Oryzias latipes: one gene and its partner. The protein of the gene in region 1 binds, or shares a complex with, the protein of each later gene. Links are inferred from orthologs where the notes say so. Each region holds a gene or a part of one and is shown in the gene's direction. Other genes may lie near its edges. The genes, in order: cinp and spata5l1.

Region 1 (12,804 bases):
ACTCTGTACTACAGAGGAGCGGTGGGCTACATCACTCTGTACTACAGAGGAGCGGTGGGCTACATCACTCTGTACTACAGAGGAGCGGTGGGCTACATCACTCTGTACTACAGAGGAGCGGTGGGCTACATCACTCTGTACTACAGAGGAGCGGTGGACTACATCACTCTGTACTACAGAGGAGCGGTGGGCTACATCACTCTGTACTACAGAGGAGCGGTGGGCTACATCACTCTGTACTACAGAGGAGCGGTGGGCTACATCACTCTGTACTACAGAGGAGCGGTGGGCTACATCACTCTGTACTACAGAGGAGCGGTGGGCTACATCACTCTGTACTACAGAGGAGCGGTGGGCTACATCACTCTGTACTACAGAGGAGCGGTGGGCTACATCACTCTGTACTACAGAGGAGCGGTGGGCTACATCACTCTGTACTACAGAGGAGCGGTGGGCTACATCACTCTGTACTACAGAGGAGCGGTGGGCTACATCACTCTGTACTACAGAGGAGCGGTGGGCTACATCACTCTGTACTACAGAGGAGCGGTGGGCTACATCACTCTGTACTACAGAGGAGCGGTGGACTACATCACTCTGTACTACAGAGGAGCGGTGGGCTACATCACTCTGTACTACAGAGGAGCGGTGGACTACATCACTCTGTACTACAGAGGAGCGGTGGACTACATCACTCTGTACTACAGAGGAGCGGTGGGCTACATCACTCTGTACTACAGAGGAGCGGTGGGCTACATCACTCTGTACTACAGAGGAGCGGTGGGCTACATCACTCTGTACTACAGAGGAGCGGTGGGCTACATCACTCTGTACTACAGAGGAGCGGTGGGCTACATCACTCTGTACTACAGAGGAGCGGTGGGCTACATCACTCTGTACTACAGAGGAGCGGTGGGCTACATCACTCTGTAATACAGAGGAGCGGTGGGCTACATCACTCTGTACTACAGAGGAGCGGTGGGCTACATCACTCTGTACTACAGAGGAGCGGTGGGCTACATCACTCTGTACTACAGAGGAGCGGTGGGCTACATCACTCTGTACTACAGAGGAGCGGTGGGCTACATCACTCTGTACTACAGAGGAGCGGTGGGCTACATCACTCTGTACTACAGAGGAGCGGTGGGCTACATCCACGGAATCAGGGTTCGTGTGGACTGAGCTGGTTCAATAAAACAATTCAAAACTTTTCAACCAGTTTCTTGTTATTGCCTTTTTACAGGCTAGTATCATCACCTTGAACAGGTATTTGTCTTCTGGTCGTATGACGTCCATCGATAGGCCAAAGTACAATATCTGTGGGTCCATAACTATCTCACATCCAAGGATATCCTGAAAAGTTTTGACCATAATTTTCCAGAAAGGAGAAATATTTCCACATGACCAGAAGATGTGTGAATGGTTAACGTTGAAGTCCCCACATAGCCTCCAGCATTGTTGTGAGGTTCCCAGCTGTTTACTCTTTATGTGAGGACTAATAAAAAACCTTGTCAAGTTTTTCCATCCAAATTCTCTCCATTTTCTAGAACATGTGGAGCTATGCTGTAGTCCACAGATTGAATGCCATTTATCTTCTGACAGTGAAATTTGTCATTCTGATTCCCACTTTTGTTTTATATACAGAGAGTTATATCCATTACAGTTTAACAAGCATCTGTACAGTTTGGAAACAACCTTTGAGTGAGGCTTCTTATAAGACCCCATCAGCATTTCTATTAACTTGCTTCCGTCTTGACGAAGATATTTTTTAATCTCCGTATTGTAGAAGTGCCTTAATTGGAAATACCTGAATAGGTCAGCCGTATCCAGCTGAAACTCCTCTTTGAGCCTTTCAAAGGACTTGAACAATTTTCCGTCTGTTGACATGCACACTGCCGTCATTCCTCTGTCACTCCATTTGTCCGTCTGTCCCGTTCTATATTTTTGAGATTGTGAGGGCCAGATAAGTAGTTTGTAATCTCCACCTATGTTGTATTTATTGACCATGCTCCACCAGATCTTTAATGTCTCTTCAATAATAGGGTTTTGTGCTATGATTTCTATTTGTATTTTCTCCCCCAGTCTTGCTTGTGGTGGACATTCTTCAAAAAGTTCTGCATATTTCTGTAGACTGGAAAAAAGAAATCAAGAGCGAAACACTGTAAAAACTTTGTTAATGAACGATGTGGAGTGACAGATCCTACAATAATTACAAAAGAAATGTTTCAGTTCTACAGTGAGTTATACTCGTCCTCATACGCCCTCCATGATGCTGAAGCCTTTTTAAAACAAATCAAACATTTGGTCCCTAAAGTAGATGATGGCTGCAGAGAGCTTTGTGAGGCAGAGATCACCATGTCAGAGGTAGAAGATGCTATAAGATGCTTAACTTTAGACAAATCTCCAGGTTCAGATGGGCTGACTGCTAATTTTTATAGACATTTCTGGGAACATGTGAAAGAGCTGCTTTACCTGACACTGAAGGAAATAACTAACACACACTCTCTACCAACATCTATGAAGCAAGGCATCAGAACTCTCATTCCTAAATCTGGCAAAGATCCTCTTCTGATTGATAATCTGAGACCGATTACCCTGCTTAATCTTCTTCCACTTTCGGCTTCTCCCATCAGGGGTCGCCACAGCGAACAAGTCGCATGGTAAACTTGGCAATGTTTTATGCCGGATGCCCTTCCTGACGCAACCTTCTCAAACCGGGCTTGGAACCGGCAGAGGTAGAGAAGGGAACAGGGAGCAGCTCGGAGTCGAACCCTGGTTTCACGGACGGAAGGCGCCGCAAACCAGCACGGGCTAAACCGGCTCCCACCCTGCTTAATAACGACTATAAAATCTTAACCCACATATTTGCCAATAGAATGAAAGCTGGGATGTCGGCCTTCCTGTTTTCTTCTGTTTCCGTTTCTTGTTTTATCTGTGTTGAGATAGTCAGAGTATAATTGCAACTACGGATTTTTTGAATTTTTAAATAAATACTTTTTTGAGAAGCTTTTATTATCTCAGCCATTGTTTTGGTGGCTCCACTCTGCACTGGCGGTCCTTTGGTCGCATACAACACGCCGTCCGGGGTGGGTACCGGATGTTCTCGGGTTACCGGATGTTCTCGGGGTCCTTCGGGGTCCTTCGACCAATGATGACGTCGCACTATTTGATTGGCTGTAAGTTGCCACGACCAATGAATTAACGTCGCTAAGTTTTTTTAAAAACTTTATTGACAATTGCGGTATCATACATTAACAATGACATTAACGTTAACAACGAACAATAACAATGTAATGAATATTGCTTCGAAGATCAGTCACCATTGCCAAACATAATATATTAACATAGAAAATAAAGAATAGAGGGGAAAAAAGAAACAATGAACATAACACACAAATAAATAAAAACATAAGTAAAATAAAATAAAGGAACATAGAAAAAATCTAAATAGTCTAATACTAGTTAAGTTAGGGGTACTCGTGAAGTTTGTATTTCTGAACAAAACTAAGCAATTTCAAGCCATTCTTCTTTTTCATATAATGAAGTGATTGAAAGTAAAAACAGAGCTCTTTATTAAATGTTATAAAAAGTGGTTTGGTCTTCAAAACTTGACCTCACCAAGATGGCGGTGCTCTCCTCCTATGAGGAACCACGTGATGTCTCCTCTAGTGATATAACTCATTGGAAGGACCCTGAAGGACCCCGAGAACATCCGGCAACCCGAGAACATCCGGTACCCACACCGGAAGGGGGCGCTGTGGACCGTGCTAACCATAGAAGAAGAACGTAACCCTTCCGGGGGGGGGGGGGTCCAGATGATCGATATGGAAGGTGAGTGGAATCAGATCCAGCTTAGAGGACCAAACACGGAAGGACTGGCGTCTGCACGAGTCCTTTCTGGAAACGGTGGGAACATCCGGTCACGTGACTCGTCAACCCCAACTATGCAGAATTTGAGCGAGTAGTATCGTGAAAAAAGAACACTTCGTTCGTGAACGACAGGAACGGAAGAAAAGCGGCGGGGTTCCGGGGAGCAGAAGGGAGGGGGGGGGCTTTTCAACAGTCCAGAGGTGGATGGGGGGGGGGGGGGGGCAGCGGGTGGAAGAGGGTTTCAGGTGTGACCAAAGGTCAGGTGTAGCAGACTGGTGAGAGCCGCCAGAGAGAGGAGGAGGAGGAGGAGATGAAGATGCTGAGGTTCTCTCTGGAACCAGGATCATAGATGTTCTGGAGATGAAAGCAGGGATGATGATGATGATGATGATGAAAGGCTGGAGAGGCTGGAGACACCAGGAAAGAGGAGGTTCATGGATGAAGGAGGACATGAGGGAGGAGGCTGAGTCACTGCAGCGCCCCCTATAGGGAGCAGCAGATTAGTTTGACCTCCAGACTGTAAAGGTGGAGCTCATGTTCTGCTTTAGTCTTCATCTTTCATTCATGTTTGTTCCCTTTTGGGGTCATGGGGCTGCTGGAGCCTATCCTGGCCACTCGTGGGTGAAAGTGGGAGGCAACCTGGACAGGTGGGCAGTCCGTCGCAGGGCCACAATCACACACTCATGCACACTCACACCTAGGGACACTTTAGAGTCACCATGAAGCATTAGTCTGCCTCTCCTCCCTCATTAGATTGATCCAAACACCACCTTCACCTCTCCACCACATTCTTTCTACTGTATCCCACCCCCTTCAAGCTCCGCCTTCTTCAACTTTGCAGCACGATATGTCCCATGATGCTTCACTGTGGGAACCTGCTGGTGAGGCATGAAGTGGATCTTCACTGAAGGTCACCTTGTTAGTCGTTCCTGGTCGTCTTTTCATGATGTCGTTTTCTAACACGTAGTTTCTGCAGAGCGGCCGGATTTCATTAGAAATTCACCTCCGTGTTTTGGGGGGAACTTTTGGGGCAGAGTAAGCCTGCCCCCATTTCCCATCAGGCATCTGTTCACACTCTCTCCCACTAGCTTACAGTCCCTCAAACCCTGATATTAGTGGTGGAACAGAAATCTATCCAGGCGTACAGTTTAGATCCAGAAAACAAAGATGTTTATCTGCAGGTGGATTATCAGAAGGGGGCGGAGCCTCTGCCCGCCGTAGTGGCTTCCACATCACACTGACAAGCTTTTTGAATGACAATGATATGAATACAGAAATCCTCAGAAATGCAGTTTGAATCTTAAATTTCTTTAGAAATGTCCTCCATCATCAGAGAAAAGCCACAAGAACACGTTAAAACACCAAAAACAGCATTTTCCACGGAGCCACGCTTTGTAAGTCTGCAGGGTTCTCATGCCAGGGTGTTTGTTTGACAGGGAGATCATCAAACAGGAAGTGCCATGCAGTCACAGGAAGTGCACGAAAGGTCAGAGATAATGCTGCCGACTGGCACAACTTGATGCTGAGGTGGGACAAACTGAGCGAGGACGGCTTTGACGTCGCAACCAACATCGTCAACATCAAGAGGTGATTGTGTTTCTAGACCGTACGCCGTCACAGGAAGTACTGGTCCCTCCAAGATGACATCACTTCCTCTTTGTGCCAACATTGTAGCCATTGAGCAACTTTATTTAGATTTTCTTCCGTAATTCGTATGTTTGTTGTTCCAAGATGGTAAACTTTGTAATTCATTGTTAAATTATCAAAATAAATGTTAACATTTCCCGACAGCTCAGCCTCCTTTACGACACTCCCTCCCCCCCTCTCCTGGTCGGGCTGGGGAGGATCTGGTTCCCCTTATGAACACACGGTTCACTTTGGCAGCGTGCATGTATCTCCACCCCCACCTGCACGTGCACACTGCTCCCTGTCTGCCCCCCCCCCCCAACCCACAGTGTCTTGATGGACAGATGTCTTCAGATTTTCACCTTGGATGTAACATTTGTCTTTCCAGCAGATCTGGTAGAATTGTTACAGCTTAATATAATAACTTATTCAAATCAGTGCTTTTATCCCCCACTTTTTCACCTCTATTCCCTTTACTCCCCCCCCCCCCACACACACACTAAATGTAACTAATAAATAAAAAATAATAAAGTAGCAAAAAGGGGTTTATTCAAATCTACACTCTGGTTTCTGGAGTTCTATAACCTCTTTGTAGTAAATCCTGTCCAACAAAAAGGCCTTCAGCTCTGATCTGTTTGCTACGACGGAGTTTTAGGGCCACCAAAAAAAAAGTTAAATTACGACATTTTATCTCGTACATTTACGAGAAAAAAACTCGTAATTTTATTATTTATTTTTTTTGGTGGCCCTAATACTCCGTCATAGTTTGCTCAGCTGTTGGACAGAATAAGTTAAAAAAAAACAGCAGAGAAGTCCCCCCCCCCCCGATTACAGCGCCCAAAACTAAAAGACCGTCGCTGTAATGCAGCAGTGTACATGCATGTATGTATATACATGTATGTACACTGTATGTACATGTATTTACTCTTTACATACATGTATGTTGTTTTTTTCACAGACAATGAAAATATCAATGATGTTACTCAGAACTGATCTTTTTAATTATTTTTTTTAATTATTCAACATTGAATCACAAAGTTTACACCTCGGAAGAACAAACATACGAATTACAGAAGCATATCTAAATAATGTTGCTCAATGGCTACAATGTTGGCGCAAACAGGAAGTGACACAACGTTCCCACATGCGGGCACCAATCGGCGAGCCGTTCCAGATCAGGTAGCTACATATGACATCACAGGAAGTCCATGTCTGCGCGCCTTCAGCTCACTTCCTGTCCGTCTGCAGAGCGTTCTGCCCGACTACACCTGTTTGACCTGCAGGTGTCTCCTGCCACTCAGCGTGCACTAATGTCCTGCCCGTCACTCAGAAGGTTCTGACCCGTCCTGTGCTCCTCAGGTCTCAACATGAGCAGCTGCTGGTTCCTGAAGCTTCATCATCGTCTTCCTCCTCAGCGACCCTGCAGCCCTCAGGAGCTGCAGAGCTGCAGGCTCAGTGCCTCAAACTGCTGGACATCGTGGAGAAAATGGTGAGTTCCTTCAGACCTGAAGGCACTGAATAAAAGAGGAGGAATGCATCGGAACCAGAACTGGACCTGCTGTGACCGACCAGAACATACAGACCCAAAGCCACACCTCTGGCTCCTCCCTGCTGCTCCAAATTTAGGAGCATTTGGAGCCATAGTGGTGTCCGAGAGTGTTCGTTTAGGGGGAGACGTAGCGACCCTCCGCCAGTAGGGCGTTCGGCGGCGTGCTGTACCATGGAGAGGCTTTTCTTCACGTGGGCGTGGTCTGACGCTCAGAAATGTCATTTAACGATTTTATAAAGTTATCAAAGCGACATCATGTTTTCCGAATGCTGGCAGCTACACGCTGACGGCGACTATTCGTGACGTCGTCTAACTGTAGCAACGTCCAGATTTGACGACTCTATTTTCCAGAACTCTCCGCCTGCAGGGCTAAATGGAGGGAGAAGCCCGAGGCAAAGAATCAGGATTCTTTGTTCCTGTCGTCTGACACCCCTCCCTCAGTTCTGGACTGGGAATCTAACGTGCGTCTTTGATGTCCTCTTTTGCTCAGACTGCCATAGTGGCCAGGATGGAGCGCCTGGCGGCATCGCAGCAAGCGCTTCGGGAGCTGGAGGAGCTACGTTCTGGTTCTGCCGGAGGAGCGGCTCCCCTGTTCCACAGCTGGACCACCAAACAGTTTGGCAAGTCTGCCTGATGATGTCGGCACGCTCAGCGGTGTAGCTCAGCTTCCAGTGCGATGTGCGACTGAAGCCGAGGTCCATCCATGGAGTGGCAGCTCTTTGGTTTCCATGGTAACACGGCTCCTCTGTTGTTTCAGAGGATGCATCGCGGCTCATGCTCGCCGCGTTCTCGGAGGAGCTGAAGCTGAGGCGGGTCATCTCGCAGGAGCTGGCCCACGCCGCCACCTCTGACCTCTCGATGGTCTACCTGTCCTGCTGGCTCCACCAGCCCTGCATCCCCGCCCAGAGCAGAATCACCCTAGAGGCTCTGCTGCTGGAAACCGGACACCGCCCACTGTGACCCGCGGGTCGGACCTTCTGCTTCCATCTGTAAACATTAAAATGAAATGAACCTGATCCACTGTAGTGACGCTTCCAGAACCAGGCCCAACCTGACCTGCTCTCTCCAGAACTTCATGACGTACAGTTCAGACCAAAGGTGTGGACACATCTTCTCATTTAAAGAGTTTTCTTTATTTTCATGACTATGAAAATTATAGATTCACACTGAAGGCATTAAAACTATGAATGAACACGTGGAATTATATACACAACAAAAAAGTGTGAAACAACTGAGAATATGTCACATTGTAGGTTCTTCATAGTAGCCACCTTTAGCTTTGATTACACACTCTTGTCCTTCTCTGGATGAGCTTCTAGACGTAGTCACCTGAAATGTTTTCACTTCACAGGTGTGTCTGTCAGGTGTAACCCTTGTGCTATCCTATGCCCCCCCCCCCCTTACAGTGAGGTGTTCTCCCTACCATGACAAAGGTGGATAAAGGTGGAAAGATTTCATGTAATCCATGGACACCAGTGAAGATCACAAATCATTGAAGAAAAAAGGTTCAGAGCACTGTCTGGTGGGTCTAGATGACCCACTCCCAATGGTGAAGTGGCTAGGATAGCACAAGGGTTACTAAGTGGGATTTCTGGCCTTATAAATGGGGTTGGGACCATCAGTTGTGTTGTGCAGAAGTCAGGTGGATCCACAGCTGATAGTCCTACTGGATAGACTGTTAGAATTTGGATTATGGACAAAAAAAAGCTGCTAAGTACAGAAAAACAAGTGACCATCATTACCTTAAGAAATGAAGGTCAGTCAGTCCCAAAACTTGGGAAAACTTTGAAAGTGTCCCCAAGTGAGTCCCAAAAACCGTCAAGCGCTCCAAAGAAACTGGCTCACATGCAGACCCCCCCCAGGAAAGGAAGACCAAGAGTCTCCTCTGCTGCAGAGGATGAGTTCATCCGAGTCAGCAGCCTCAGAAATGGCAGCTTAACAGCAGCTCAGATTAGAGAGCAGGTCAATGGCACACAGAGTTCTAGCAGCAGACACATCTCTACAACTGTTCAAAGGAGACTGTGTCAATCAGGCCTTCATGATAGAATATCTGCTAGGAAACCACTGCTAAAGAAAGGCAACAAGCAGAAGAGACTTGTTTGGACTAAAGAACACCAGGAATGGACATCAGACCATGGAAATCTGGGCTTTGGTCTGATGAGTCCAAATGGGAGATTTTTGGTTCCAACCACCGTGTCTTTGTGGGATGCAGAAAAGGTGAACGGATGGACTCTACACGCCTGGTTCCCACCGTGAAGCATGGAAGAGGTGGTGTGATGGTGTGGGGGGGGGCTTTGCTGGTGACACTGTTGGGGATTTATTCCAAATTGAAGACAGACTGAACCAGCATGGCTACCACAGCATCTTGCATCATAGTCATGCTATTCCATCCAGTTTGGGTTTAGTTGGACCATCATTTCCTTTTCAACAGGACAATGACCCCAAACACACCTCCAGGCTGTGGAAGGGCTGTTTGACCAAGAAGGAGAGTGATGGGGGGCTGCACCAGATGACCTGGCCTCCACAGTCACCGCAGAGTGAAGGCAAAAGGGCCAACAAGTGCTAAGCATTCTGGGAACTCCTTTAAGACTGTTGGAAGACCGTTTCAGGTGACTACAGAACTCTTAGAGAAGAATTAACTTATCTAAATCTACAACTACATATATGAAGTCCAGCAGACGAGCTTCATCCAGCCGTGGTTGGGGGGGAGTCGGGGGGGGGGGGGGGGGGGAGTCGAGCCGGAGACAGGAACCACAGCCAGGTGTAGGAGCAGGAGGGGAAAGAAGGAAAGAGGGACAGTCCATGAATCACTGCAGCAAACACAGACATGGAGAACTATTCCATAAAACAGGGGCTTGGTGGCTAAACGCTCTACCTCCAACCGTACTTTGACTAATTCTAGGAACCACAAGCAGTCCTGCATTTAGTGAGTGAAGTGTTCTGATTGGATGGTAAGGGACTATGAGGTCCTTAATATAGGACGGGGCCATTCCATGTAAGGCCTTCTAGGTTAACAGGAGGATCTTGAACTTGATTCTAGAATCAACTGGGATCCAGTGAAGTGAAACTAACACAGGAGTGATGTGATCTCTTCTGCTGGTTCCTGCTAACAATCTAGCTGCTGCGTTCTGAACAAGCTGGAGACTTCTTAAGGAACTCTTAGGACACGCTGCTAACAAGGAGTTACAGTAATCCAGCCTCGACGGAACAAATGCATGGATGAGTTTTTCAGCATCACTCTTAGAAAGTAGATTTCTGATCTTAGCAATATTCCACAGGTGTTAATTCATAGTTTTGATGCCTTCATAGTCATGAAAATAAAGAAAACTCTTTGAATGAGAAGGTGTGTCCAGACTTTTGGTCTGTTCTGTAGATTGTTCTGGAAAGCCGTCTTCGGTGGGGTTCCGGCTGATCAGGAGCCAGCGTGAAGACTGGAACCGGGTTCTGGGAAAAGCCCGGTGATGCATCATTACACAGAGTCAAGTGTGACGCCACTTTATTGGAGGAACAGGGATGCATGCAGCACGGAACCATTGACGCGACACAGACCGTCCTCCATGCTGCGTTCAGCTCAGCGGTCCAATCGTCTGGTTCCGCTCAGGATTTTATCAAAAGTAGTAAAATAGTGCAACTCTTTTAAACTTCATTCTACACATGTATCTACATATACACATTCAAACACCAGCGTCTACGTTAAAGTCCAAACATGGAAACACTGAAGACGGGGCCGAGTCCACTTCCTCTAAAAAAACAGCAGGGGGCACTGCTGAGCACCAGGTTCCCGCCGCCAGCAGGAACCCTTGTGGTCACTGATTGTCGGTCTGCAAATCAGAACGCGTCCGACAGCTGATGGTGACGCGGAGCTGCAGCTCGGAAACCGAGAGAACCCAAAAGAAACTAGCTGCACAGAACTGGGCCCAGCAGGAAGGACCCCTCTCGCCCCCTGCAGGCGGACGAGCGCCTTTCGGATTGGACCGACCGATCCAAGTGAAGTTCACGTTCTCCTTCCACCTGCTCCCATCCTTCTGGACACTTTAAAAGCCTCTTTAATACATGGTTCTGACCTGGTTCTGCTCCTACTCAGCTCTCACCGAGGTTCAGTGAGGAGCTTTGGCTCCATCTGATGCTTCGATGCCGAGCAGAGCTTGGACCGCCTCCAGAGGAATACCTTCTGGGGTCTGGATGTGCATGGTGGTTCCATCAGGTCCATTTACAATGACGATCCCGTCTGAGCCCGGCTCTGCCAGCTGGACCGTCAGCCCCTCAGTCTGGATGTAGATCTCCTGACCCTCCTGCAGTTCTTTGGACTCGCATGTTCCACACTCGGTCTGGGGGGGGGACTCAGTCAAGTTTACCTTATGGATTAAAACGGGCTCAGATGTCTGAGCGGATCCGGGCTCCGTGGTCTGAGCGGATCCGGGCTCCGTGGTCTGAGCGGATCCGGGCTCCGTGGTCTGAGCGGATCCGGGCGTAGAGGTCTTGGTGTTTGTGCTGGGGTCAGAGGATGTACCCAGCATGGTCTCCAACTCAGTTATCTGGGCTGAGATTTCAGGGGTGGTCAGAACCGGGTCTGCACCTTCAGACCCGTCAGCTGGAACCGTCTCCACACGGATGGCAGGAGGTGGCAGCTGGCTGGAGGCCTCTGAACTGGAGGAGCTGCAAAACCATCAGAAACACAGACCATAACACCGATCCGGCTGTAACACACCTGTCCCTGAGAAGGCGGAGTCAGCCTACCTGGAGGACAAGAGTCTGGATCCAGCTGGGAGCACCAGAGGTGAAACGGACACGGAGCAGGTCTTTAGGGGGCAGCTCAGCGGCGGGAAAGAGGTTGTACTGGTACAGCCTTGGAGGGAAAGGGGGGACATTTAAAGCTAGAACAGGTGATGTGGCCCTTGCACAGGTGAGTGCCGGTACCTGTCTGAGTCCTGTCAGTGCCGTTTTGCTGAACTGGAATGCTGTTTTCCATCTTGAACCTCTTTGAAGGTGGTAGCATCTTGGAGTTCTAAAGAATAAAACACCGAGTCAGGTCTGACGACAGTACCGCTGTCAGCCGCAGGAGAACCTTTAAAAACCTCTTTAACCTTCAGTGTCTGGATGGCCTTCAGGTTCCCCTGGTTCTACCATGCTCTAGAACCTTGCTCTGGTTTTAATAGCTGAGAATCTACAGCAGTTTTTACATTTCAGGAGAACCTCTCAAAGAATTTCGATTCTGATCGTCCCAAGTATGGGAGATGAGTCGCAGTTCATGGAGACGAGCGACCAAACTCTGGTGAACCTGCAGTCCGTTTCTACTGGGACCGGTAGGATCTGTTCAGAGACCTGTTCTGCCAGAGACCGCTCAGCTGAAAAGAACTTCCCTCCCACTGGGTCCATGTCCTGCACCGAGCTGGTCTCCTGCAGCTCTAGTTCTGTCCTAAATGGGTCGGCCTTTTGGAATCTCCCTGGCTGATAAATCCGACAGCTGAATGTATTCCTGTAGTGGCCTGGATCCAATCAGGACCAGAACCAATCTTCCAGGTTGTTGGGGAACCTTACCCCCATGTATCTCACGTTCTTGCTGGTCACACTTGAACTTGGAGATGCTCCAGGAACCACCTTCATCCTGTTGACCTCATCAAGGATTCCTAGAGACCGGGCCACCTGAAACCAGACTCCAGAATGACCCGCCAGACCCACAAAGCCTTACCGGAAGCAGGGGGTTCAGACACGTTCATCTCCTCACCTCGATGTTCCTGACCTCCAGGGGAGTGGCTCCG
Region 2 (12,804 bases), on another chromosome or scaffold:
TTTACACTCACTCCTGTTAGCTTACAGCCCGTCACACCACGTCCAACTTTTTCCAACTGCTGTTTTTTTTGTCTGCTACTGATTCATACCATTAAAAAAAAAAATAGAAATACTCATAAATACAATTTTAATCTCATGTTTGTCCTCGATCATGAGAAAAAACCTCACAAGAACATGTTAAAAACACCAAAAAAAGATTTTCATCAGAGTAAGCCTTTAAAAAATTTAAAATTGCACTTTTTTGTGCAAAACGAATTGCTGAAAAAGAAAACCTATTTGTCAGCTGGGATTGGATCAATATAAAAAAAGATTTTTTCTGTGATAAACATTCCCACTGCACGCAACTTTTTCTGTCACTCTTACTGGAAAGTCTAGTTTATTAAACACAGTACAATCATAGGCAAAATAAACACATCTTTCACATTTAGTGAATGTATATTTTATTGCTGAGTTTTTATTTTATACAACAAATAGGACTCAAGTGTCAGAATATGTGTTTGCGTTTTCTGCGTGCATCTGTGTGCCTCAGTCTGACCTGCAGTGTAGACACCGGCAGAGGTCATGGTGCGCTTGAACGGAGAAACCGCTGCAGCTTTTTCGGCCTCCAACTCAGCAACACTTTTCTGTTTGACTGGGGGCGGTGGGGTGGTTTTAGGGAGGGGGGCTGGGAACATGTTTTTACCCTCCTGGATGTGCCAGAAAAATACAGAAGAGGACCCGTCTGAGAACACAGAGCATGTGGACGAATTCTGTGCGTGACAAGAACAGAGTGAGGCTTTTGCACAGCAGGAGGCTGCGGCTCAAGGAACGGAACTCACAACCCAAAGTGACGAACGGCGCAGCAGATCCGACTGAACAAACAGCAATCGTTAACCATTTAGCAATGTTTCAGACAAATGAAAAACTGGAGAGAAACTGATATGTCCTGCTGAGGTTGCATGCCTTCGCTGCCATAAACAATATGTCAGAACCATAACTCCTTGAAAATTCTAATTTGAACTGATCAAGATGTTCTTGCAGGAACTGCTGCCAGCTGGAATTGTTTTTTTAGTACTCATTAGGCTCAGGATCTCGGTTTGACAGAGCCTGATGGATCACCTTAAGGAGGAATGGATGCCAGCACTGAGACAAGCAGCCCGTTAGACCCTCACAGAAAACCAACCTGCATGACAAGAGTGCCACGAATGACGTGCCCAATGGTTCCATAGTCAAAGTTATCTGTGGTCTCATAGTGAAAGAACTCCTTGTCTGGGCTGATGGCCTTCAACAGCTTCAGGATGTTGTTTGAATACAGGGTGCTGGCCTGAGTAGCCATGCGGCTGGGAAGGTCTGTGTAACCAATGTGCGTTACTCCCTGTTCATTCAAAAAGATCAAAATAAAAAAAACATGTAATTGTCTTTATTAGGAGTGATACAACAAACAGAGATATTGCCAAAGTGTTGCAGAGGACTCACCCTGTAAACATACAGCTCGCCGGGCTTCGTGGTCTCGATGTTGCCCCCAGCTTCAGCAGCCAGATCCACCACGACTGAGCCATCCCTCATCGAATCCACAAAGTCCTTCTTAATCAGAATAGGAGCCCTCTTTCCTGCAAGGAGTCAAATGCATTAAAAGAATTGTGCTTGTATTTAAAAACAATTTCATTGAAAGACTTTTTTTTTTGCAAACAGTTCAACAACATTCATTTAACTTCTGCTCAAAACGAAACTAAATATTTCAGATGCAAGTATTGATTACATCCCCAACCACGTCAACTATGAATCGGTTATAATTTTGTGAAATTTTGGAGATAAAAAAAATGTACTCCTAAAAATATGTAACAGATAATAAAATCACATGATTGCTCTCATCCTCTGGAGTTACAGGATTCTTATGAAACACTAACGTTTAAAAAGCGCTTCAGATGAGTTTCCAAACTGTCACAAGAGTCCATGTGAAAAAAGAAAATGAAATTAAACCTGGCTCCATAAAATCATATACACATTTTATAGGCTCTTATTTACAGTGTGAGCCCTGGAGAAGGAGTTTGAACTTCTCTCCTAAGAGTAAATGGTTGTTTGTCTAACTTGACGCTGTCTATCTCTGCGGCAATGTGGGATCTTTCTATAGAAGTATAGAAAAGTTATCTGAAAATTTTGTGTGAGAATAGAAAGTTAACTTACTATGTGGTAATTACTTTACTTTTTATTTATACATTTTCGCCAACAGGCTAAAGCCCATCAATAGGTAAATTCACACACTAAAATCACAAATGTCCCTAATTCTTCATATAAATATACCAAATAATAAAGAGGTGCATTATTTCAAATAATAAACAAAAGCTCCAACAATGTAATTATTTTAAGTTAAATGTCTTAGAACTGGAATTTTATTTTTTTAATTTGCATTATTTTTAGATTTTCTTCAGTTAAAGACCCACTCCAATAAAAAATGGGTTTTTGGTGTTTTTAACATGTTCTTGTGTCATTTTTCTCATGTTGGAGGACTTATATAAAAGAAAATAAAGCTTAAAACTGTATTTCTGAGTATGTCTTTATTCAGATGGATGGGAATTAGGAGCAGACTAAGAATTGTAGTTTGAAAAAGCTTGCAGCTGAGACGTGGAAGCCGCAAGCTCTCTGCTCGGCTCCATTCTGAAACATGAGTTTGCAGACTAACGGCTCTGTTTTCGTCGTCTGAGCTGACATCTGGCTAGCTCCAATATTGCTCGCCATATTTGTTGCACCGATAATGTTAGGTTAAGGGTGTGGGGGGGCTGTAAGCTAGTGGGAGAGAATATATACAGATGGATGATGGGAAATGGGGACAGGCTCACTTCACAGCAACAGTCCTGCCTACAACTCTAACGAACCCCTCCTGCTCTGCAGAAACTATAGAAAATGACAGGTTTTATTTTGGCGAAAAACAGCGTAATCATTAGAAAAGAACCACTAGGAACAATTTAAAAATAGATGAAAAGATGGTCAGAGTGGGACTTTGAGCGTTTCCAGTTAACTAAGTTCTGGTAAAAAAAAAAAGGCAAAGTGAAAACTCTTGCAGTTTTGGCATCAATGGTAAAATATTATAATATGAAAGAAAAACAGAACATTCATCACTTTAATAAATCAAGTTTGTATGTTTTACTTGGTTTGGAAAACCACCGCTGTGATGAAGTTTGAAACATTTAATCTTAAAGACAAAAGAGCCAGAACATTTCAGTGCGACTGACCTGGAATCAGGGCAGTGCTGATCAGAATGTCGACTTCCTTACACTGCTTTGCGAAAAGGGCCATCTCAGCCTCAATAAACTCTTTCGACATCTCTTTGGCGTAACCTCCAACCCCCTCGCCAGACTCTTTGATCTCCACTTCCAAAGGCTCTGCCCCAAAGGACTTGAACTGCTCCAGAGCTGCTGGCCTGACAGCCAAGAAACAGTCCGCTTTTCGTCAAATAACCAAATACATCAACACCGAGTCTGTAGTCTCAAATGAAATGTGTTTTTTTCTCTTTCATCTCATACCTGGTGTCAAACCCCCTGACGATGGCTCCCATTGACTTGGCGGCCCCCGCCGCTGCTAAACCAGCCACTCCGCCTCCAATAACCAAGACCTGTGGGAAAACAAAAACATCTCCGGACACAGTCCACACCAAGCTTTTGATTTGTAAATGAAAGTATTTACGCAGCTGCCAGGTACCTTAGCAGGTGGTACTTTTCCAGCCGCTGTGATCTGTCCGGTAAAGAACCGGCCAAAGTGGTTGGCAGCCAAAACAACAGCCTTGTACCTGCAAAATTTAAAGCCCAGCTCTCATTTTCCCACATTCCTGAAAAGCTTCACGGGCATGAATCTGTGAGGATCTGGATGCTTTGTTACCCAGCGATGTTAGCCATGGAGCTGAGAGCGTCATAGCCCTGAGCGATGGTCACTCTGGGCACCTGGTCCATGGCCAACACATTGCTCTGCCTCTCTGAGAGCTTCGCCATCAGCTCTGGGTTCTGGGCTGGATAGATGAAGCTCACCAATGTGGACTTGGGCTTCAGCAGATCGGCTTCGCTCAAACTAGGGGCTCGAACCTGAAGACAGAACAAAGTCATCGTAAACGCAAGAGACGTGAACAAAGGGAATAACGGATAAATGACAGCTACAACCTTCAGGACCAAATCGGATCCCAGAGCTCCCTTAACGTCGGTAATAGTGGCCCCTGCATCTTTGTACTGCTGATCAGAGAACTTGGATTCATCTCCAGCTCCACTCTCAACCTGAACCTTGAAGCCCTGTTTGACCAGCGCCTGAACCCCAGCAGGAGACAACGCCACACGCCGTTCACTATGCGCCGTCTCCTTGGGAACTCCAACCACCAGGTCCTTGTAGGGCACACCTAAAGACACAAACAATCTGAGAAGTAATTCTGCACCTTTACCAAAGCAAACCCTTTCAGACTGAACACAAATCAGATGTTATAGGAAACATTTGTTTGGTTTTTAGGCCACATTACATGCATGCTGGGACAGCGTGGCCTGGAGCGGCGTCAGGTTGCACATTTCTCTCCGTAAATGGCATGGCGACCTCTCCGTCACAGTGACATAATTAGCAGGTGATTGGCGCTCGGCCACCATGCACACACGCTGAGAGCCGGGTCTGAAAACTGAAACTTTAAAGCTTTTTGTGTCTCGTAAAATTCTCACAAGACACTCTGCAACAAGTGCTCTGGTTTTCAATGAGCAAACATCTGCCAGCAGACTCAGCCAGGCAGCAATTTAAGTTTGACATGTCACCTCAAAGTGACCTCTCACTCGCTCTAACATGTTGGTAGCACCTACAGGTCAGCCTGGGAAGCTGCTCCACAACAGCAGCCCTATTTTGGGAAACATCTTAAGCAACAGCAGGCAAACTAACATGGATGTTTCCACTTTTCGCTGGGGGAAAAGGGTTGTATTCAAGTAAACTGTTTAGGTATAGATCCTTGACCAGAAATGCAGCAAAGTTCAAATGACAGATGTCCTAAGAGTGCAACATGTCCTACCTCTAGGAGCTTTTTGGTCCCATAATGCTGGGAAAACCCTGAAATGCCTCCTTCCAAGCGTCTGCTGATGGGCTCTTCTATGGGACAGAGCTAGACAGGAGCTGGAGATGGACCGCAGGAGGGTCGACATGTTCACCGAGCGTCCGCCCCGGGGGACTCCTGCTGCCTCTCTACTGTGAACACCAACAAGCAGAGATAGACGACACTTAAGCACAGCGTCTGCATTTGCCCTCAAACAACAAAGGACATTGTAAGCTCCTCAGTGAGTCTTAAATCCCAAATGTCCTGGTAGCGCGCTCGGGCCGTCTACAGACAGGAGAGTGACACTTCTCTGCAGGACACGCTCCCACAGGCCCTGGGTTGATTACACTCCTGCCTGCAGTTATGACGGAAGGAAAGTGTGCCAAGTTTGGCCTGAAGGTGTGAGCATAGATTAAAGGAAAGAGCTCTCAGATGCAGGACAGAGGATAACTTGTGGCCTAAAAAATATATTTGTGCAACAAAAGTGGATAAAAAGTTATTTACTCATTCAGAGACTTTAATAGTCTATTGCTTTGATTAACTTTAATAGTCTAATTCCCATGAATCCCTTTTTATATTAAAAAAAAATTGGCTAATGTCATTATTATCAGACTTGCCTTTGAAATTTTCAAAAAGGTGTAGTTTAAAAATTCAACCCTTCATGGGCATCAGGGTCACCTGTGAGACGTCCTACCCGAAAACCCCCGCGTGCCCTCGCGCAGACGCAGACGGACTGCCGACCTTCCGCAGTTCCCATATCTTTTGATATAAATAGAACCCACGTGACTTTTATTATTTAAAAAAAACGCAGCTATAGTTAAGTGTCGTGCTAATGACCAGCCTGTCTGGAGTAACAAAGAAACACTTTTTATACTTTTTTTAAATGTTCCGAAGAGAATTTCTAAGAAGGAAGGTTTTTTTTTCTCTCTCCTTTTTTTCCCCAACAGGTTGTAGTTTCTTTTATGAGCACAGGATGGCGTCATGGGGCCGCTAGCATACAAAATGTTGAACAATTATGACCCCTTTCTTAAAATGTTAAATTTTTTGCAATATATGTCCTTAAATACTTTGGAGGGGGGATATGTAATTTAATTTAAAAATTTTCAACACAGGAAAACATTTCTTATAGATCCCCTAAATTATATCTAAAGGTTCCAACTCCTTATACTACATTAAAAAAAATACTAGTACATTCTAATTAGAAAATATCTTCAATACACAAACATTTTAATGTGCACAGAAGATACTTTCTGTATATGCGTGCATGTGTTTGTTAAAAGGAGTAATTTCTATAGGTCTATATAAGTACATTTTAAATAAAATATCGGTACTTAACTTCAGCTTAAATACTAGAAAGTACAGTATTTCGGAATTCGGTAAGTTACTTACAATGACTAGAAGTTGTGCTTTAATCGTATTTCCTCTCACGCAGGAAGCGGTTTTGGTTGGCCATCTTGATTTTTCCGGGACCATGTGGATTTGTAAACATTAGCCACTCATCTGCAGCTAACGCCGCTTCCATGCTTGTTTTTAACAGATATTGATTGGTATCAGGCGTTTTCTGGTGTAGTATTATATTACAGTTCTATGTTTTTTTATATGTCGTTTTTTTTTTTAAATTTTGTACATCTAGCTTGCCGCGCGCCCTTTCGCTAGTCTTAACCCTGCATGCAGCTGCTGTGTGTTACTTATTCCGTTCTGAGTGAGTGACAGAGTATCACTGGCAGATTACCTGATGGACTCTCATGATCCTCTGATGTTGCTGGCCGTGGATCCCTCGGACCGAGGCTCGCAGAGGTGCAGGCTGGGTCCGGGGTTGATGTCGGCGCTGGGTCTGAGTTTGGGCTCCCCGCTGTTGGTGCATGTTCCCGGGGGGAGCTGCCTGTGCACCGCATGGCCCCGCTCCGACTTGGCAGAAGGATTTCTGCAGATGGACCGCAAATGTTTCACTCCTGGTTTGATGATCTTTCCTCTTCCTCCGCGCTTGAACATCGAAGCAGCTCAGCTCACACCTCTGCCCTGCCCCAAACTTCGAGGCGTTAAAGTGACCGTGGTTGTTCAGACTGTGGGGTTTAAGAAGCACACCAACCTTCACATCGTTCACGAGCTTGTAAAGGACATGCTGAAGGGAGTCACTGTCCACAAAGACTTCGTGATAAGCCTGGAACATTTCGATATAGACATCAAATATGCTGTAGTAGACGGCATAAATCCAGATTCTGCAACCGCAGGAATGATCACCCCAAAGACCAGTGTGGAGATCTCCAACATCCAGACTGTCAGGCATTTCAGGAGTCAGCTGCAGGACCAGCAGACCATCCCACTGGGAGGATTGGAAGAGGTCAGACACTCACTGAGGATTTAACCTCCATCTTTGCATTACGTTTATTCGTACCTCTTCTGTAGGTGACTGCATCCCTGAAGGAGATGCTGCAGCTGCCACTGCTCTATCCAAGAATCCTGAGCTCAGTTGGGGTGACCTGTCCCAGAGGCATGCTGCTGGTGGGGCCTCCTGGGGTGGGCAAGACTCAGTTAGTGCAGAAGGTTGCAGGAGAAGTGGGAGCCAGTCTGGTTCCGGTCAGAGGCCCAGAGGTACCAGTACAACTCCTTAATGTCTCATTGCTTTCATGTTTTGGGAAAGTCAAAAACTGAATCTCATTTAGCTTCAAACGCCAACCCTAGATTGATGATCAGATCTATAAATGCATGATTGTTACTCATTGGGCTAGTTGACAACTCAATTCAATATCAATTTGAGCATGATTGATCACAGAGCCAATTATTTGTCATATTTTTGTTCCCAAGCCAATTTTGTGTGGTTATGAAAAACTGTTTTCGTTAATTAGTGGTTTAAAGACCTGATTTCATAAAGATGGTGATGCATCAGAATGGAGTGGAGCAAGGAGCTTGTAGACTGCAGATTGTAGCTTCTACACCGCTACAAGCGTTTTCAAACAGTGCAATTTGATTAAAACATACTCAGAAATGCAATTTTAAGCTCAATTGTCTTTGTATATGTGAAAAATGCCATAAGAACATGTTAAAAACACAATTTTCATTAGTAGGTCTTTAAAAATTGTGTTTAAAGTGTAAAGGCCAAACCACGTTACAACCATCTAACTAGCTTACAAATGAACTTAAAGATTCTGTCTTTCTTAAAAGAAGTTTTAATTCTACTTTCCTGGCACAAGGAAATATGTGATAATATCACAATATCAATAGCTTAACCAGTGTCTAAAGTTTTATGGTTGTTTGTTTCATATAGGAACATCAAACAACAGATATGGGTTCACACGCATTGAAACTGAGGAGATAATTATCTCTCTGATTAGTAAGCAGCAATAATGGGTCATAAATGAAAGAAATATTATCTTTGTGGACAAAGTTGATGCCAAAAAAGAAGAGGCATTATGTTAAGGAAGGTCAGTTCCAAATGGGCTGATGCAAAGTGGGACATTTTCCTTTGGTCCCAGAAATCCTTCAGCAGGATGTGGCTGTTTGGCATCTGCAACGTTTCTGGAGAAAGAAGTTTGTTTGTTTAAGTGCTGCCAGTTCATTCTGATGCTGCTACCCTGGAGAAATATGGTTTAGCAAGAAACCAGAAAATGCATTAGACCCTGCAGTTAAGCAACCAGAATTCTGTGTAGATGAAGAATAGCAGAACATTTCACAAGTCCAAAACTTTCAGAATTTTGCAACATCTGGTCTCCTCTGTGTGGTTTGATTAAATTGCAGACAGTCCTTTTATTTCAACATTTGGAGAAAAAAAAGTATTTTTTGTGTTATGTTGTCCTAAATTAAACCGTTTTTGCATCGTTATATTCATATTTTATTTACTTTTTACACAAGATGTGATGTTTTGGAAAGAACATTGGTGGTCTCTTAGACTGCCAAGAATTCAAGCAGAAAATAAATCATCCAAGGACGTCAAATGATACACTAACATTTTCTGTTTGTTTTGTAAATACTTTGTGGTTGTTTGATGTAACAAAATCTTCCTTAAAATAATGTACATTACAGAGAAAATAAATCTCTTTCTGCTTTACAATTAAAATAAATCTTAACTAATCAAATTTTTTTGATTAGTTTTGATTTCTAGAATAGTGATGTTAATATTCACTGTTGCTTCATGATCAATATCATAGCTTCTCCTTTTATTTTGAAATGTTTATGATTAAGAAAATATCTTATTCTGAAGAAAACACCCTCATAAACAGATGGGTATTTGGAATGGTCTTGTCAGTTGGTGGGTTCCCGACCCGGCGAGAGCGAGGCGGCGCTGAGAGCCGTGTTTGAGCGTGCTCGCTCCGCAGCAGAGGACGGCCCCTGCGTTCTGTTTCTGGATGAGCTGGACTCACTGTTTCCCAGGAGAACTGCCTCGTCGGCGCCGGAGAACCGGCTGGTGGCTCAGCTTCTCACCCTCATGGACGGAATAGATCAGTCTGACCGCTTCCTGGTCGTTGGAGCCACAAACAGACCAGACAGTTTAGACCCAGCGCTGCGCCGGCCCGGAAGGTTTGACAAAGAGGTAGGGGTTTCCGTTTATCTGCTTATGCAAGTTCATGTCATTCTGCCCGTGGATTCATCTGATTTCTTTTGTTTTATATAAGGTCGTCATCGGTGTTCCCACCTTGACTCAGAGGTTGGCCATCCTAAAGGTTTTGTTTGAGAAGATTCCTGTGTGCCCCACTGTGAACCTGGCTGAGCTCGCACAAAGAACGACTGGATACGTCGGAGCCGACCTGAACGCGCTGTGCAGGGAGGCAATCATGCACGCTGTGAGAGAAAACGCAAAGGTAAACACAGACAAACACACCAGCTCCCCATCAAACCCCGCAGAATGCACAAAACCCTTTTAGGTCGAGGTTTTTCACCGAATTAAAATGCTGAGTTATAGAAATGGTAAAAGAGTTGCCATCTGTGGATTAATCCAAACAAAATATAAAAAAATTAAGTCTTTTTGCATCAAATGACATTACACAAACAGCAGCCCAACCGATTGTATCACGAATCAGCAGTTAACAGTCTCTGCTAACATAAATGAACTGTCACTGTTTATCATTGGAAGATCTCAGAAAGGGTTAAATTAGGGCTAGAGGATATGAGGAAACTCGCAATTTGCGCTATAAGTGATCAATATTGCAATGACGATAATTTGCAATACATAGACAAGTAGTAAAAAACAAAACAAAAGCCTAATTTCTATTTTGCTGCAACAATTTAATTTAAATAAGAGTCAACATAACTTGTACTCCAAATGACTCATCTAAAGGAGGCGAACCCCTAACAACAGAGGGCTCCATCTGATTGGTCAACAATCTGTAGAAGCCCATCCAATGGATTTATTTGATTTGTTAAATAATTCAAGCTGCCATAAGATTTTTTAGATAACATTTAAGGTAACTATTTATCGCTATTGTCGCCGTCTTATGCAATATGGCGATAACGATGAATTTCCGATTTATTGTGCAAGCCTAGTTTAAACCTTTCAGTTAGCCTAGTCAAAAATAATCTGTGAAAGACATGGCCACACTTCTGCCTCTGAAATAATCTGGATTACTGGAATGTGGCCATGTCTTGGCTATTGCATAAAAAGCCCAAATCATTATGTTTCCACTTCTGTGCAATTTACAGTGATGGCTTTTTTTTAAAATCTTAAATAATTTGGTGTGTGGTGGTTTAATTTTCAGATTATTCTGTTTTGCAATAAAATTCTTAAGTCTGATCACATTTGGAAATTTAATAGACAGGAGACACGGCAGGGAGGAGATTGATTAACACGGTGGACTGTTAAAGAAAAAAAATGTGCAAAATAGCACAGAAAAATATGGGCCAAAGATACAAAAGAGGAACCATGGTTTTGCGAGGGAACACTGTATACTGATCCCTCATTGTCGAATGGACAGAAAATTGACCTTTGACCTGCTCAGTGGTGAGGGAGGAAGTTTCCAGGAAGGATTATTATTATTATTAGTCAATCCAGTTGACATGAGCTGCAGGTTAAAGACGCTTTCTGGATTAAATGGTACACCTTCGAACCTGAGATTATTAGTGGATTGAACAGTGAATTGTGTTTACCAGCAGCCGTTGTCCTAACGTTGGCCTGAAAAGCCATCCGGTGGCTCCAACAGCAGTATGGTGTTGTTGCCTGAAGGCTGTGAAGATCCGCTCAGTATTGATCTATAACCCAATTAGCTGCAAAATGTTTCTCCAAAGTCTTCACAGCCATTTGAATTCTGTTCAACGAAAAAAAAAATACCGTTCCATTTTAAAAAGTCATTCGGGGCATTCAGCATTAGTACAAGTGTTAGTTTTGTTAGTAATTTTTGGCTGTGCCTCCTTTTTTCTGTCTTGTTGTCTGTCAGGGTTCAGCAGAGCAGAAGGTGGTCATGCGGCACTTCGAGGAGGCCCTGAAGGTCGTGAGTCCTTCCTGCCTGCGCAGCAGTCTAGGCAGGACAGATCTCCCTCGGGTGCTTTGGGAGCACATAGGAGGCCTGGATGAAGTCAAACTCAAACTAAAACAGGTAAATAAAAGTGTGGCATTGTCAAAATGATGTAGCTAATGAATGTATATGATTATCCTTTTATCTTGTGCACCAGAGTATTGAGTGGCCAATGAAACACCCTGAGGCGTTTGTTCGTCTGGGTCTGTCACGGCCCCGGGGTGTGTTGCTATTCGGACCCCCGGGGTGTGCAAAGACCACCCTGGTTAAAGCTGCAGCCACCTCATCCAGCTGTGCTTTCCTGTCGGTCAGCAGTGCTGACCTCTACTCTTCTTACGTCGGCGACTCAGAGGCGGCCTTAGCTCAGGTCAGGCTCTAAAGGTTTGATATAGTCTGCGACAGATTTGATTCCTTCCTGCGGTTGGGTCCATGCGTGTGCTTCTGTCTGTGCATCTGCAGCTGTTTCGCCAGGCCCGCGCCTGTGCTCCCAGCATCCTGTTCCTCGACGAGATCGACTCTCTGATTGGCTCCCGGTCCACCAACGAGACACAGAACAGCGAGCAGACGCGTCTCCTGTCCGTGCTGCTGAATGAGATGGACGGGATCGGTGTAAAAACAACCGAGAGGAGGGGGGCAGAGAAGACTCTGCAGGCAGAGGGAATGACCAAGAGTGGAGCACAGGAAGAGGTCCGGCGAGGAAGAACCGTGTCTGAAAGCCTTCAAAGCTCCGAATGAGTCCTCATCTCATCAGCTGTGTTTTCTCTGTTACAGTTGGAGTGGGAGGAAGTGTGCAACAAAGACGTGATGGTTGTAGCTGCGACCAACAGACCAGACTGCTTAGACAGCGCCCTCCTCAGACCAGGAAGAATGGACCATATTATTTATGTGCCGCCGCCCGATCAACAGGTACATTTCGTATCTGAAAGCAGAAAACAAACAAAAAAGTGTTGAATCCCACATTTTTATTTCCAGTTTCTCCAACTACCTGTGTTGTGTTTCAAGGCACGGTTGTCCATTTTGAGGGTGTGCACAAAGCGGATGCCCATCTGTGCAGATGTGAGTCTGGAGGAGCTGGCGGATAAGACTGAGCTTTACTCTGGAGCAGACCTGGAAAATCTGTGTAAAGAGGTAAAACTGTCCCAGGCAACTAATGTCTGTCAACAAATATACATTTCTATGTTGGAGTTTGAAGGGAAAAGTAATCTAAGCCTTTAAAGATCCACTGCGATCATCTTTTGATGTATTGTAAAACCGTTCCCAGTTTTTTTAAATTATAATGATGCAGTTTTTAGCTAAAATTTAAAAAAATCTGTGTTGTTTTCTAGGACATAGTTTCTG

Evidence for each region.
Region 2: cinp (region 1) and spata5l1 share a complex: the UniProt entries of both Homo sapiens proteins name them as parts of the 55LCC heterohexameric ATPase complex. The link is inferred for Oryzias latipes from reciprocal best matches to the Homo sapiens genes CINP and AFG2B.

What each region holds. Positions count from the first base shown.
Region 1 is NC_019880.2:155,850-168,653, reverse strand, and holds cinp (cyclin-dependent kinase 2-interacting protein), read left to right. Parts: upstream 1-4,533; 5' UTR 4,534-4,717; coding exon 4,718-4,751; intron 4,752-5,306; coding exon 5,307-5,457; intron 5,458-6,855; coding exon 6,856-6,985; intron 6,986-7,535; coding exon 7,536-7,665; intron 7,666-7,802; coding exon 7,803-8,005; 3' UTR 8,006-8,061; downstream 8,062-12,804. Other genes in the region: znf839 (zinc finger protein 839), read right to left, coding at 11,143-11,701, 11,783-11,891, 11,963-12,050, 12,584-12,688, 12,771-12,804. UniProt on the Homo sapiens protein: Component of the DNA replication complex, which interacts with two kinases, CDK2 and CDC7, thereby providing a functional and physical link between CDK2 and CDC7 during firing of the origins of replication.
Region 2 is NC_019861.2:12,884,933-12,897,736, forward strand, and holds the start of spata5l1 (spermatogenesis-associated protein 5-like protein 1), read left to right. Parts: upstream 1-6,426; 5' UTR 6,427-6,758; coding exon 6,759-7,364; intron 7,365-7,429; coding exon 7,430-7,615; intron 7,616-9,266; coding exon 9,267-9,551; intron 9,552-9,633; coding exon 9,634-9,819; intron 9,820-11,388; coding exon 11,389-11,547; intron 11,548-11,623; coding exon 11,624-11,833; intron 11,834-11,925; coding exon 11,926-12,153; intron 12,154-12,237; coding exon 12,238-12,372; intron 12,373-12,468; coding exon 12,469-12,594; intron 12,595-12,804. Other genes in the region: NAD(P) transhydrogenase, mitochondrial, read right to left, coding at 536-686, 1,163-1,354, 1,456-1,589, 3,210-3,397, 3,501-3,589, 3,676-3,763, 3,853-4,052, 4,128-4,357 and 1 more. UniProt on the Homo sapiens protein: ATP-dependent chaperone part of the 55LCC heterohexameric ATPase complex which is chromatin-associated and promotes replisome proteostasis to maintain replication fork progression and genome stability.